2 linked regions of the Mus musculus genome follow. The protein of the gene in region 2 interacts with the protein of the main gene of each other region in a pairwise test. Links are inferred from orthologs where the notes say so. Each region holds a gene or a part of one and is shown on either strand. Other genes may lie near its edges.

Evidence for each region. The genes of interacting proteins can lie anywhere in the genome.
Region 1: the proteins of Ctnnd1 (region 2) and Zbtb33 interact in binary tests that used the Homo sapiens proteins (3 or more experiments, as listed by UniProt). The link is inferred for Mus musculus from reciprocal best matches to the Homo sapiens genes CTNND1 and ZBTB33.

The regions. Positions count from the first base shown.
Region 1 is NC_000086.7:38,188,848-38,192,597, forward strand, and holds the start of Zbtb33 (transcriptional regulator Kaiso), read left to right. Parts: upstream 1-945; 5' UTR 946-1,235; intron 1,236-3,367; 5' UTR 3,368-3,369; coding exon 3,370-3,750. UniProt on the Homo sapiens protein: Transcriptional regulator with bimodal DNA-binding specificity.
Region 2 is NC_000068.7:84,619,718-84,623,367, forward strand, and holds part of Ctnnd1 (catenin delta-1), read right to left. Parts: intron 2,366-3,650; coding exon 2,294-2,365; intron 1,271-2,293; coding exon 1,118-1,270; intron 738-1,117; coding exon 202-737; intron 1-201. UniProt on the Homo sapiens protein: Key regulator of cell-cell adhesion that associates with and regulates the cell adhesion properties of both C-, E- and N-cadherins, being critical for their surface stability.

The DNA of each region.
Region 1 (3,750 bases), on a different chromosome or scaffold from region 2:
TAGAAAGAGAGGCCCATTGGACATGCAAACTTTATATGCCCCAGTACAGGGGAACGCCAGGGCCAAAAAGTGGGACTGGGTGGGTAGGGGAGTGGGGGGGTGTGTGTGGGACTTTTGGGCTAGCATTGGAAATGTAATTGAGGAAAATACATAATAAAAAATATTTTAAAAAATAATGATAAACAATACAAATATTATTGCCTTTCAAGGTAGGGCTCATTTGACACTATTTGGTTTGTTATTCCTTCTCTGTAGTTCTATACTTTTAAAATACTTTTATTCGTGTGTATGTACCTGCCGAGCCCTCTGAAATGAGAGAAACTTGTCTTATCTGCTTTTCTATCCCACAGGGCCTGGAGTATATTTGCTGCAGATCAAATGTGATCTCTATGTTAATAGATATGCAGTTAACAAGATATTGCATGCACCATTTAACATTCGATTAACAAGAGTTATCAGAACACAGGTTTCTTCTTAAAAGTAGACAGTGTAATGTGGTTTTCTTGTTATCCTACAATTTGAATTAGTATGAGTTAAATTTTAGTATGCAGATTGTATTCAAGGTGGCTTGTTATCCAAGCAACAGGCTAACAGGGCAGACTTCAAACATGCAAAAGAACTGGAATTTATACAACCTCTGAACATTTTTAAGCCCTCGGGACTTAAGGGAGTTTGAACAAACAAGACTAGCCTCCCTGCCACTCCTAACAGTGTCATCGGATCTTTGTCTGTCTCACGGAGCCGAGCTCTTAAGAGAATCACAGAACACTTAGAAAAATGCTTCGCAGTCACGGAAAGAGCCGAAGGCGGGCTTCGCGCTCTTCCGGACAACCCCGGGCTGCTCTCGGAAGAGGAAGGCGAGGAAGCCACGCCTCCCACGCTGCGCCCTCTGTCGGCGGAGCCCGGCGCCCGAGCCGCGTCCGTGGAAGCCGCTTTGACGTCGGCGGAAACTGGAGCGACATTTAAAGCGGCAGCAGCGGCGCTGCGGAGTCCGGCTGCTTGGGGTAGGACTCTGACCCTGCCTCGGCCCCGAGGAGGAGAAAGCGGCCGCCGCGGAGCAGGTGAGGAGTGGGCTGGGCACCGGGCCCGGGAGACGGAGCCCGCCTACGCCTTCCATGCCCTGGCCGCGCCTACGCTTGCGGCCGCCTCGCTTGAACCAGGAAGCAGCGGAGCCCGAGGCCTTGGCTCCTCTGCTCTTTCTTTGTGTGGGTCCCGGAGCTCTACCAAGAGAACCGGTAAGGCGCGGCGTGGTCCCCTTCTCTGTCCAGTGCCAGAGGCACCCGGTACCCTTGCATAAGCCTTAGGGCGTGGGGGACGCCGCCAAGTACCCACTTGGCTTTCTCCCTCTCCATTCGTCCGCTTTGGGGGGCGGGGAAGGGGGCTCTTTTCCCACCTCCCTACTAGTTTGATTGAGCTTTACTATGGGGCCCATCCTCCTCTTTAGATCCTTCTTTGGACACAACAATGCTTCCGGCTTCGCATGGCCCGCTACCCCCAACAGAGTACCCTTAGGAGCTAGGCCTACTTTCTTCAACACCCCTCAACCCCCCTGCCTTCGTTCTGCTGTTTGCATCGCCATCCCTGTTTGTGTTTTCACGTGAATTGACGTTTAAAAGCTCAGTTGCACCAAAGTTCAAAGGAAGAAGAGGGAGATGGTGGAAGAGGGAGAGATGGACAACAGCTGCAGGGAGCCCTGTAGTGTTGGTTTGTTTCCCCCCCTCTGGCCCGTGGCATTTTTCTCTTCCCTACTGTCACCAGCCTTCTAAACCAGCCAACAACCAAAGATGTGTTACACAATGCTATGAGATGCCTTTTCCGTAGGCAGGTCGCAAATCTCTGGGGAGGAAAGGTTTGAGACCCACTTGGGGTGATCCTGGGCTAACCCTGACCAGCTGGATACCTAATCAAAATGAAACCAGGTCCCAGTATCACCTAGACACCTACATTTGAATCATTCCCATGTTGGAAAAAAAAAACCCTTATTTTCCAATTATAAAAATCATGTGGCCATATACAGAAATCTCTCCACTTGAAAGTGGTTTCTGTTGAAACCTTCATGTTTTGGATTGTTGGCAGATTGTCTAAAGGTCACACTTTGTGATGAATGCCTTTGTGATTGCCTGTAATTCCTTGGTGCTGTTAAAATGGAGTAGCTAACATGGTTTTAATTTTTGGCTTTTAGACTTTTAAAGTTATGATGTTTTAAATACAGAGATACTCATGCCTCCCTTGTGTGTTTATATGTGAGCATGTGTGTGTGTGTGTGTGTGTGTGTGTGTGTGTGTTTGTGTGTGTGTGTGTAAGTACCAGGTGACAGTGACATTCTTTAGTAACTTATTAATAAAATAATTCTCTACCAAATGTACTTAGCAAGGAATGGTTAATATATAATATTTGTATAACATGTGTTTTGTGCTTATAAGTATTTTAATATGCATATGGGTCCTTTGCACTTCAGATGCACTCTGAACTCAATAGCTTCCGTGAAATGCCAAAAGAAAGTGTTTGGAGTGTCCCACAGCAGCAACAGTTGCCTGCTTCTCTGTTGTAACTAGTTACTGTTTTTGCTTGCACTGACTCCTTTGAAGAGAACTGGGTCTTCTACAAGTGAACATCATTCTTTACCAACAACATATGTTTGCAGTTTTTATGTAAATAGGCACCGAGGAGGGGCGCTCTCCCTTTCTGTTTGTTTCTTCACTAGAGTATGTGTTGACTTCACTTGGCACTCTGTCTAACGCTGCATCTCTACAAAGTGCAAGGCAGAATAGAAGGATAAGGGGTAGGTAGAAATAATGGGAAATTGTGAGGCGCTAATTGTCAGTGTCCGTAATTGGCCTTGGCTGTGAGGGTGAACTTTTGAATAGGATGTAACTAATAAGATTAGAGGTGAAGTTGAAGGGTATAAATTTCAGACTAAATATTAAACACACTAAACTTTTCTGGCATTTGAAGAAGTAATTCATATGCTTAATGGTGAAGATTTTTCTTAAAATGAAAAATTCTTATCTCTTGAGGAAAAATGAAGTAAAGTTGGGACTAGGAAAGTGAATTCTAAGTTTAAAAGGGTGATTAGTGGAAATGCATTTTCCTGAATTTCAAAGGAAGGCGACCAAGGAGATTATTGTTCAGATCTGCATGGCAATTTCAAAGTTTCTTGACATTTCTCAGAGTAAGTCCTAAGATTTGACACACAGTCAAAAGCTAGTGTATGTAAGAGCATGTTTAAAGGTCAAGATTTACACCAAATATTGACTAAAATGTAAACTGTTTACCATACCTATGCCTCACATTTCGAATAGTCAGGTACTTTGGGGTTTTTCCCTCCCTAATCCTCCCCTCTTTCCCTCTTCTCTTTCCCTTATAGGCATGGAGAGTAGAAAACTGATTTCTGCTACAGACATTCAGTACTCTGCCAGTCTGCTGAACTCCTTGAATGAACAGCGTGGCCATGGTCTCTTTTGTGATGTTACTGTTATTGTGGAAGACCGAAAATTCCGGGCCCATAGGAACATCCTTTCAGCCTCGAGTACATACTTCCATCAGCTCTTCTCAGTTGCTGGGCAAGTTGTTGAACTAAGCTTTATAAGAGCTGAGATTTTTGCAGAAATTCTGAACTATATCTACAGTTCCAAAGTTGTCCGTGTTAGAGCAGATTTGCTTGACGAGTTAATTAAATCAGGGCAGTTACTAGGCGTGAAATTTATAGCAGAGCTTGGTGTCCCACTGTCACAGGTTAAAAGCATATCA
Region 2 (3,650 bases):
AGGGAAGGAAGAAAGAAAGGGAGTGAGGACCAATCAATCCCATTGTAAAATCTTCCTCCATGGCAACTACGCATCCAAACAGTCAGCATGGCATCTTCAGCCAGCAAAGATCAGCTCTAGGAGGAAGAGCCCTCAGAGCAGACAGGTGCTTAGTGACCTCTAGGAGTCCCTAAAGCTACCTCTTCCCCCACTCCTGCCCACCTGAGGCGTCGTCGAGGGTCAGAGGGTGTTCCTGTCCGACGGGCAGTACCATAATCAGACATCATGCCGTAATCGAGGTCATCATAGCCCATGCTGCGCTGGTCATCCTCTAGCCCGTAAGGCTCAGGATGAAAACGATGCAGGTCCACACTGCTTCCACCTACTCGAACCTGGGGCTGGGGCCCATAGACATCTTGTCTACTGGGTGCCCGGTAGCCTTCCATGCTGGGCCTATACCGCTCCTCAATTCGGGTCACCCGGGACAGACTGCCGTAGTTGTCACTGCCACCTGGATAACCATCTTCATAGTGTCGGCCATACCCATCTGGAGGATAGTGGAAGTTCCTAGGAAGAGTGGCAGTGCCCGCTTGCCCCACATAGGGACCAGGGCCCCCATTGCCATTCTTGCGAAAATCACGGCCCAAGGTCTGGATATAGTTATTGGAGACTGCTGAGGCGTCCACGGGCAGCCCGTCTGGCCCCATGGGGACAGGCTGTACTGTCCGAGTTGTCATTGTCTTCACAACTTTTTTGACCTTCATTTAAGGAATAAGAAAAGGAAAACCAACTATTGAGGAAATAAAGAATCTAAGTTTAAATTCCACAGTACTCTAAGATAGAAACCCTACCCTCTAGGTCTTTATACAGAAGTGTGTGTCATCTATATCTCTTCTCCATCCTACAGAAGCCCTCAATGGAAAAAAACTGCCCAATCACTAACATCCTCTCCGGAAGCTACTGTAACTGTCATACTCCTCCTCTCTTCCCACTTCCTGAACTTCTTTTACCTTGTCTCTTTGCCCAGGCATCACTTTCTTTCTGGCAGACAGTGGCTTTGGCTCACTTAACTCGTTAGCTTCTCTACTAAAATACCACAGAGGACCTATCATTCTAAGACACGAAAATCTCAGCTTACTGTGGTCTCCGTGCGTCTAGTGGTCCCATCATCTGTGGTCTCCACAGAAACAACAGACATGGCTCCTTCAGGGTCCTCCTCGGTGTAGGTTTCCACAATCTGTCCTGGCTCCTGCATCCTGGGGATAGTGCTGTACAGAAGGTGGTTGTGATCCTATGAGAGAGAAAAGAGTGAAAATACAACTGAACCTATGTAGTAACAATCTATTCTAGTAAGAAACACAGGTGCCTCTAGAGACAGGAGGCCTTCATGCATCTCCCATTGTCCTCAGGGGTTTTTAATAAAAAATGGTTGTCATCTTTAATACTTGTACAAAAAGGCAGGGCATGGTAGTGTACACCTTTAATCCCAGCACTCAAGAGGCAAATGCATGCAGACCTGTAAATTCAAGCCTACCCTAATATACACAGCAAATTCCAGGTCAACTAGGACCACATGTAAAAGGACAGAAAATAAAACTTCCTAGTACTAGCTATCTAACACATATAAGTTTAAAAAGGTAACTAGAATCATGCTGACATTGCAGTGACTGGGACAGCAGGTTACCTCCCATTCTGGTCCCCGACTTGGATATTAACTGTGTTAACTGTAATATTTACACTGGAGCAATACTTCAAAAAGAACAGCTTACTCAGTAAAGATACGGATTTTAAAAAATAATAAAAATACCAGGTTTTTGCTTTGTTTTGGGTAGCTAGGCAAGCACCCCACCTGCCACTGAAAACATTTGGAGCCTCCTCCTACTTTTACTTTGGGATAAGGTTCCAGCAATCTCCCAGGGAGGCCTTGAAACTTTTGATCCTCCTGCCACAGCCTCCTAAGACACTAAGATTAGATTTGCCCCATCAGGCCCAACAAAGATTTTGTTATTCATCAGATTCGTTCATCTCCTCAGTTAGATTTTAGGTAAGCTTTTCTACAATGTAAAATTATGCTCTCCCTCAAAACAATTGCAGTTTTTGGAGGATCAAATGAGATAGGAATACCATGAGAAAAGCCAATGATTAAAAAAAAAATCAGCAAAACTATAATTTGAAATGGTACCTTTTTAATTTCCAAAATTAAAAAACTAGTAAATATTTACGATGAGCACTGCAGCATAGCAATATGATCATAAAGACTGGAGAGGTACAAAGATGTGAATGAAGTCCCTAGACCTTGAGTGGAAACAATTACCTGGGGTCCGTTGAGTTTCAGATCTGAAAATTTCTGTCTCTCAAGGTCAGCATCGCCCACAAACCGGCCGTTCTGAAACAGAGCCCACAAAACAATTCATGTTCTGGCTGACCTTTGTTCTGTCTAAGACAGCATCTTTCTTTCAAAAATGAAAGGGCTTTTGAGAAGGTATTTGTGGACTGAAATCCTTCTGTCGGTACTCACATAAGAACCATAACACTCCATAACAATCTTAGATACCACTTTCCTCTACAGGCCTAGAATTCTGGCAGGTGGGATTTCTGGAGCATGAGAATGTAAGTTCCATGAGTACACAGGGTTTGAGTCCAGTAGTTTCAAGGCTACTAACATCCCTAACATCTTGAACAGTACTTGGCACATTAGAAGCATTCAAAGACCATTTGCTTAATAACACAGACTCAGGTAAGCTCCCTACAGAAAACCTTTTGGAAAGCTTTAAGAATGTAAGTTAGGAAGGCTACAATGGGGGGTGGCGGAAGGGGGGAGGGTGTCCACAAAAAGCCTCCTTTTATTATCGTTCTAGGAATCTTCAAGCTGTGGTACCAGGGTAAACTCCCATTCCAGGAAGCTCTTGAATGAAGAGAGTAAATTCTCCATTTCCAAATACGAAGGAAAGTACTCAGCAACGCCCCTCAAAAAAAGTCTTCAACGTCTTTAACAAGTTACAGCTACAGAACACATTCTCAAACGTTGTTAAATTGTTCTATGTTAAGCACCAAGACATAACCTAATGAGACTGCATATATAAAGCACATGTCTTGCCCCTCCCAACAGAATACAACTAGATCCAATAACCTTGGGATCTTCTTCCACCCATTCCCCCTTTACATGCAGTGTAATGCTGCAGCAGGGGAGGAAGTTAACCATTGCTTTCAGGAAGAAGGAAGGGTGTGGTTTCATTGCAGAGCAGAGGTTAAAAATAAAAGAAGAAGATAAACCACTAAATCCTGGGATTCCCCACCACCTTAAAGTCTGAGCACCCCACTTTCCTTCAGTGTGTCTCATCCCTAACTCTCTACACTCAAGTTCCTGAAAATTTCCTTGAACGTTGTTGTTTATTTCATGGTCCTGATTATTCAAATGATATCTACTAGCTTAAGGATTAAGCAAGCAACTGGGCACGATTGTAACCCTAGCACTAGGGAAACAGAGACAAGAGGACCACAAGGTTGAGGTCAACCTGAGCTATGTACCAATACCTAATCTTCACAGACCCAAAGGTCTGGAAATGTTGTTTAGTGGCATGCACAAGACCCAGGATTCCATCCCCAGCTCCTCATACATAAGTAAGTAAGTAAAGAGTCTAGGACATAGCTCTGTGGTAAAGCATTTGTCT